Linked DNA regions of Oryctolagus cuniculus. The protein of the gene in region 1 purifies or fractionates together with the protein of each later gene. This does not show direct contact. Links are inferred from orthologs where the notes say so. Each region holds a gene or a part of one and is shown in the gene's direction. Other genes may lie near its edges.

Evidence for each region.
Region 2: the proteins of CAMLG (region 1) and TNFRSF13B purify together in Homo sapiens (affinity purification with western blotting; 3 studies listed by BioGRID and IntAct, with this or other methods). This does not show direct contact. The link is inferred for Oryctolagus cuniculus from reciprocal best matches to the Homo sapiens genes CAMLG and TNFRSF13B.

What each region holds. Positions count from the first base shown.
Region 1 is NC_091437.1:22,958,482-22,962,934, forward strand, and holds the start of CAMLG (guided entry of tail-anchored proteins factor CAMLG), read left to right. Parts: upstream 1-1,515; 5' UTR 1,516-1,618; coding exon 1,619-1,802; intron 1,803-3,340; coding exon 3,341-3,789; intron 3,790-4,453. UniProt on the Homo sapiens protein: Required for the post-translational delivery of tail-anchored (TA) proteins to the endoplasmic reticulum.
Region 2 is NC_091448.1:66,023,647-66,026,597, reverse strand, and holds the end of TNFRSF13B (tumor necrosis factor receptor superfamily member 13B), read left to right. Parts: intron 1-1,287; coding exon 1,288-1,467; intron 1,468-1,803; coding exon 1,804-2,054; 3' UTR 2,055-2,154; downstream 2,155-2,951. UniProt on the Homo sapiens protein: Receptor for TNFSF13/APRIL and TNFSF13B/TALL1/BAFF/BLYS that binds both ligands with similar high affinity. Mediates calcineurin-dependent activation of NF-AT, as well as activation of NF-kappa-B and AP-1.

The sequences.
Region 1 (4,453 bases):
GAGGCTGCAAAGCCAGCGCAGGCCTGTGCTGGAGATCCGCATCTTCAGGCTGCCCTGCAGAGCTGGGAAGGCAGAGAGCTGCCACGGGCCCGGAACATACTAAATGCCTCTTCTTACTCTTCATAGAAACTGGACAACCTTAAAATATGCACACCCAAATTGGCACTATTTCATTTGTATAATGAAAATCACAGCCTGCCTGTTGCTTTTCTGCAGTTTGGATTGGGATGAAAAAGGTAGAGTCAGAGCCGAAGTGAACCCGGGAAAAGACCGAAGTATGTGATGACGTCCGCAGAGCCCTCTGGCAGCTGTAGAGGTCCCCGGGGACCTGCTGGGCCCAACTCACAGTCGAGTAGCCAGCAGCGTGAAATCTAATTTCAGATGATTTTGCATATTTTGTTTTGGAGTATTTATAGCTGTACCAAAAGTTAACATAAATACTTTGATATTACGGTTAGGGAAAAATTACTTAGCTACTTGAGTAATTTTTTATAAAGACGCTTTTTTTTTTCCTTAAAAATTATTTATTTGAAAGGCAGAGTTACAGAGAAAGGGCCGCCCTGAAGCCAGGAGCCTGGAACACCATCCATGTCGCCCATGTGGGTGCAGGAGCCCCGCTTCCAGTCCAGGCGGCGCCCGGCCTGGTGCTGAAGACGGCCAAGTGCTCGGGCCCCGCTCCTGGGAGACCTGTCTGAAGCGCCGGCTCCTGGCTCAACCCTTGCCGCCATGTGGGGAGTCAACCAGCGGATGGAAGAGCTCTCTCTCTCTAATCCTGCTTTTCAAATAAATAAAATACATAATTAAAAACAGTCTCGGGCGCCCCCAAACCTCCCATTCAGGGCCTGCGCCGCTGCGCCTCACGGAGGCCTTGACGTGCATCCACATCGGTATAGAAATCGCAGCAGAGAACAAAGCTCACTGCGGGGCTTCACACATCTTATATTTCAGGTGGTGAGACGCAGGCGACAAACACTCAGCACACCTGACAAGGTGGCTGTACATGCAAAGGAGAAAAGGGGTAGAAAGGACTAAAGAGCGTGGATCATTCACACAGTACGGACAGGGAAGACATCGCAGGGAAAGTCTTATTTAAAAAAAAGCGTGAGGAAAGCATGAGAACTAGCCCACTCGAGAGAAGAGCAAATTCTGAAGGGACTCAGAGTCAGCCCCGAGAAAAAATTCCTCTCTAAATCGTCGTTCGCCAATTTTCGTATTCCTGCGTCCAATGAACGAGGCCGCAGGAGTTCTGCAAAAAAGCGCCTGAAGCTGCATCCTCCATTTTGCTTCCTGGCACCTGTGACCTATATGCCTATCGCTTTCGTCACTTTCATCTCTTTCCACATCGCCAGGTTACGGACCATTTTGTTTATCTCTAATTTTAGAAGAGAGGAGACCAGCCGTCAGCGGAATGCTAGGCAGGCCGTCCTGGACCACAGGCGCTGCCCTCATTCAAAATGGCGGCCACAGCCTCGCGCACCTTCCCATCGGGCGGCGCGGGCGCGCTCGGCCCGCAGTCCCGGCCCCGCGCGCGGGGGGCGGGTCTACGCTGGGACGGGCTGGGGCGCCGTGCGGCCCTGCCCGAACTCACCCGTGCCGCCGCCGCCGCCACTTGCAGACCATGGATGGGCGGATGGAGCCGGTGACCGTCGCTGCCGACGGCGGGGACCGACCGGGGGCCCCGGCAGGGTCCGGCATGTCGGCTTCTCAGCGTCGGGCCGAGCTGCGGCGGCGAAAGCTGCTGATGAACTCGGAACAGCGCATCAACCGCATCATGGGTTTCCACAGGCCCGGGAGCGGCGCGGGTGAGAACGTCCGTTTCCCCGCAGTGTTCTGCCGACTGCTTGGCATCTTCGGGGTCATCTTGCCTGCCCCCACACTGCGTCTCGCTGGCCTCTCCCTGCCGCGCGTCCCCCTGCCTGAGTCCGGGGTCGCTGCCACGACGGCTGCGGGTCCCTGCGGGCGGCAGCCTGGAGACGGCCGTTCTCCCTGGTCTGCTGTGCCCGCGGTGCCCCCGGGAGGATGTCCCCTGCTGTCCGTTCCTGGTGCCTCTGCTTCCAGGGCTTTCCCTGGCATCCGCCTTGTGTTGCCGTTTGCTGTGTAATTGCTGTCGGGCACACCCGCTGGTCGGCTCTGCCCCCTGGGCCGCCCGCGGTGGGTCGGAGACGCGGGGCTGGGGGACATCCGGCCTGAGGTCCGCGAAATCGCCGCAGGCGGGATTGGAAGTCCAGTCCATCTGTGGCAGGCTGATTTTTAAGTTGATAATTTTGTTTGGCGCACAAATGATGTTATAGATGTTCAAATGGCTCTCATGGAAGAAAGACCCCCCCACCCCACCCCAGCTAGTGCCTGTGTTCAGCTCCAGGCCTTCCAGAAGTCAGACCAGCAGGTGCGCTGCGCCCACCGAGCTGCGCTGTCCTTGTTCGTTGAGACGGGTGTGACTGAGGTTGGGTTTGCATTGAGACCTGGAGCAGTGTCCCCAAGAGGGTGTCGAGGTGTTTTCTTAAAGAATCCTTTTCCCTGTGAATAGAACGAATCATTTAGCTCGCGAGTGGGAAGGTTTCCGTCCAGCATTTCTCTTAGTAATCGGCCTTTGGTTTTTGGTTGCGAGCTCCCTAGCTCTTCCTGAATCCCGGGAGGTTTGAGATGGAGTGTGGCTCCGAGCTTGCAGACACACTCCTGGGGAGGGAGAGCCCCTTTCCGAATTGTCCAGAACGGTGGTTGGGAGAACAGTTCTCCTTCGACGTTAGGATGCTTGTCTCTCCCAAAGCATTCTTCATCATCTTTCTTGGAGATGCGTTCTTATTTTCTTCTTTTGCTTTGAGATTTTTATCTTTATAGGTTTTGTTTAGGAAGAAAAGCCATGGCAGGGTCTTAAGGCTGTGTGTGGACACACTGTGGCTGCCTGACCCGTGAACAGTGGCCGGGGGACAGGCCACACCCTGTGCTCATAGAGCTCTGGATTCAAAAATCTAACTTAACATTCGAGCTAGAAAAAACAAACACACACTGATTTTTAGAAGGCTTGATGATTTTATGTATTCAGCCAGATAACTAGAGCAGGAACTGTGGGATATACTGTCCAGGAAGCGCAGGGAGAACAGTTTGCTCCATGCCGGCTCTCCGTTTGTATTTCACTCCTCGCCCCTCCTGCTAAGGCTGAGCTGTTGTGTACGGCTGGCTTTGAGGGTGTGGAGGGAGGAACCACTTCTCGTTTTATGCACAGTCAGTGTGGATTTCATTTCAGAGACTGCCAAGTTCTAGCTGCAGCCGCTTATTTTAAAATATTAACGTGTAGTGTTCGCCTGTATGGAATACATGAGACTTACATTTCTCTCCTCAGAAGAAGAGAGCCAAGCAAAATCGAAGCAGCAGGACGGTGACAGGCTGAACGCCCTCGGCATTCCTTCCGTCTCCAAGCGCGTGGTGCTGGGCGATTCAGTTGGTGCGGGAGCGGTGGACCAGCACGGCAGTGCGGCCGAGGTCCGGGGGGACGCGCTGGACTCTTTGATTCCGCCGCCCGAGTGCCCCGACGACCTGAACCTGGAGCTCCGGCTGCGCAGCAGAGGGGAGCTGGCCGCGGACGCCGTGCAGAGGGCCTCTCGCCACGGGCTGGAGCAGTACCTTTCCAGGTTCGAGGAAGCAATGAAGCTGCGGAGGCAGCTGACCAGCGAGAAGCCCAGTCAGGAGGACGGGAGCGCGGCAGAGGAGTTTGACTCTTTTCGAATATTTAGATTGGTGGGATGTGCTCTCCTCGCTCTTGCAGTCCGAGCTTTCGTTTGCAAATACTTGGTAAGGAAAAGACTGGGTTGGTAGCTAACTTCATGGAATATGCAAATTGCTTATAATGAATGCTTTTATATTTTATTTTTTGAGAGTTACACGGTAGGAGAGGAGAGAGAGAGAGGGAGGGAGGGAGGAATATCTTCCATCTGCTGGTTCACTCCCCACATGGCCACAATGGCCAGGGCCCAGCCAGGCTGAAACCAGGAGCCAGGAGCTTCTTCCAAGACGCCCACATGGGTGCAGGGCCCCAAGCACTTGGACCATCTTCCACTGCTTTCCCAGGAGCGTGAGCAGAGAGCTGGATTGGAAGTGGAGCAGCCAGGACACGAATTGGCACCCATGTGGGATGCCGGTGTTGCTGGTGTTGTGGCTTTACTGGCCGTGCCACAGCGCCGGCCCTGAAAAATTTTTTAAATGTAATTGAGAAGTAGAAGGACAGAGGGAGAAAGAGATTACATCTGTTTGTTCTTCCCCAAAATGCCTCAAGGACCAGAGCTGAGCTTGGGCCCAGAGCTGTGAGTCAGAAACTCAGTCTGCGTGCCGTGTCATCTGCACCCATTGTCTTCATTAGCAAGCTGCAGTCGAGAGCCACATCCAGGGGCCGCTGCTGTGGTGCTGTGGCTAAGCCTCCACCTGCGGCACCAGCATCCCATGTGGGTGCTGAATCTAG
Region 2 (2,951 bases), on another chromosome or scaffold:
GTGTTTGGGTCCAAAAGAGGCCACTCCACCCACCACGTTTGAGGGACCTGGGTGCCCATGCCCCTGGGTAACACGTGGAAAGTGACCTGTTGTGTGGTTTTTGTTTGCTTTTTTTCTTTTTAAAATTTATTTACTTGAGAGGTAGCGTTACAGAGAGAGGAAGAGACAGAGAGAGGTCTTCCATCTGCTGGTTCACTCCCCAGATGGCTGCAACAGCCAGAGCTGTGCTGATCCAAAACCAGGAGCCAGGAGCTTCTTCCGGGTCTCCCACGCAGGTGCAGGGGCCCAAGGACTTGGGCCATTGTCCGCTGCTTTCCCAGGCCACAGCAGAGAGCTGGATGGGAAGTAGAGCAGCTGGGAATGAACAGGTGTCCCTATGGGATGCCGGCACTGTAGGCAGCGGCTTTACCTGCTACACCACCGTGCCGCCCCTCTTGTCTCATCTGTGTAGTACAGCTGATCGGAATGGCCTTGGGGGCTGATTAAAGGAGATAGGCAGAAGGGAAGTGGCGCATGCGAGCTGTCGTAAGTGCATCGTGTGCATGTGACACGGGACTGTCATGGGTATATCACGTGACATTAAGCCTGGCACACGGGACTGTCATGAGTGTGACACACGCACATTAAACCTAGCACACAAGCCTGTCATGAGTGCACTGTGTGCACATGACCTTGAATCTGGCACATGGGACTGTCATGGGTGTCTCACGTGCAGGTGACATTAAGCCTGGCATGCCCGACCTTGCACCCCAGGGCCCAGTGTTGCCTCCCTTGTAGGGAGCAGGATAAACTTGAGTTGAGGACAAAGACCCTGGTCCTGCTCCTGTGGGCTTTCATCCATCCACCTCTAGGACTATCTTAAAGTTTCTCCACAAAAAAGTTTGTGGAAAATGCCAGCTTCAGTCTGGCACCAAAACATGTGAAATCCATGCCTAGTTTTTTCACACTATGCATTGTCCTTGAATGTTTAAGATTTATTTTATTTATTTGAAAGGCAGAGTTAGAGAGAATCTTTCAACCCCTGGTTCACTCTCCAAATGGCTGCAAACAGCCAGGACTGGGCCAGGCTGAAGCCAGGAGCCAGGAGCTTCTTCCAGGCCTCCCACATGGGTGCGGGGGGGCGGGTGAGGTGGGCTGCTTGGGCTTTGTTGGGGGGGCGCAGACTTCGGACAGAGAGAGGTCTGGGCAGCTGCTGATCTAAGGGCGCAGCCACTTAGCGTAGGGCCCTGGGGAGCAAGGGCCGCTCCTCACTCGGGTCCTGAGCTCCGGGTCCCTTCTGTCTTGCAGCGCCGCTGGTGCCCAGGCTGAGCGCGCACCAGCTGGCCCTGGTCTACAGCACGCTGGGGGTCTGCCTGTGCGCCATCATCTGCTGCTTCTTGGTGGCCGTGGCCTGCTTCCTCAAGAGGAGGGGCGACCAGGTTTCCTGCCAGCCCCCGGCAGGGAGACCCCGGGCCAAGCCTTCCCAAGGTGAGTGCATGGGGGAGGGAACCCGGGCTTGCCTACGCGGCCCCTGCGCCTACGGGGACAGCGTTAGGCCGTATCGTCCAGGGAGAGGTCTGGGGCACCTTCCTGCTCCGTTTTGGCAAACTCGGATTAAAACAACTGGGCGGGAAGAGGGGAGAAGAGGGTCCCCAAGCCAGGCCCTGGATGCAGGGCGTACGGCGGTCGGTGCAGGCAAGAGGGCAGAGTTGGTGGTGGCAGGGGGCGCCCTCGGCTTCTGGAGCCCGGGGCGGGGTGGGGGTCTGCCGCGGCTTCCCGGGCCCCGTCGCCGCCGACGCCCTCCCTCCGTTCCTGCCCTCCCAGATCCCGCGATGGAAGCCGGCCCCGCAACATGCGCGCCGCCCGGCCCGGTGGAGACCTGCAGCTTCTGTTTCCCCGAGCGCAGGGCGCCCACCCAGGAGAGCTCAGCCACGCCCGAGACGCCCCGGCCCGCGGTCGCTGAGAGCCTGGGGCGCTGCCCGGGGACCGCCGCCCCGCGGTCGTGCGCGCGCGCCCCGGACGGCGGCCTCGGCCCGCTGTGCGCGCCCGCCCAGGAGGGGAGCCTGGGCGTTTGAGGGGAGGGGAAGGGAGCGAGGAGGAAGGGCCCCCTGGGTCCCGGTGCGAGCGACGTTACTCACCCAAAGTGCCCAGTAATAAAGTCGCTTGTACCTGCTGGCCCAGCCCCCGGGAGTCCCTTCTGCGGAGCCAGACTCTCCTGCTCCCCAGGATGGGTCTCCGCCCGCGACAGCCCAGGGCCTGCACCTGCCGCGTCCCCCTGGGGCCGCTGGCGTGCCCCTCCCCGGAACTCCCAGGGGTTTCACCTGGATTGCCACGCCCTGCTCCCCCTGGCCGCCTGGCCACCGGGGCGCCCCGTCTTCCCATCCCAGGGCTGAAGTTGTGGGCGGGACTCCTTGGTCCCCTCGGGCTCTTGACACCAGCTTCTTGCTGGTGCAGCCCCTGGGTCGCGGAGGGGTTGGGGGAGGGAGAGCAGCAGCCGGGCTCCGATGGCTGGGTTCCTGCCACCCACGTGGGACACCTGGATTCTGAGCCCAGCTCCAGCCATTGTGGGTATCTGGGGAGTGGGCCAGCAGGTGGCAACTCTATGACATTGTGGCCAATTGGGGAGTGAACCAGGGGATGGAAGACCTCTCCCTCTTCCCCTCCCCCTCCCCTGCTGTGTGTCCGGTGATTTCTGCTGCCCCGCCAGCCTGAGACAGAGGTGGGAGGTGTTCAGATGCGGAGGTGGGCACACCTGTCACCCCGCCCCCTCACTGCTGTGTGCCTGCAGGGTGGATGGCACTGTGCTTGCTGTCTTGTGGTGCGTCCTGCAGCACTGGCCGCCTCCCTCCCTGACTGGCACCACCCTGCGAGGGCCCGGTTGAAGTCCTGGCGGAAGCCCCAGGAAAAGAGCGTGTGGCCAGTGTGGATGCCCACTCTTCTGCTGACCTGCGCTGGGCCCCCCAGGGTGTCTC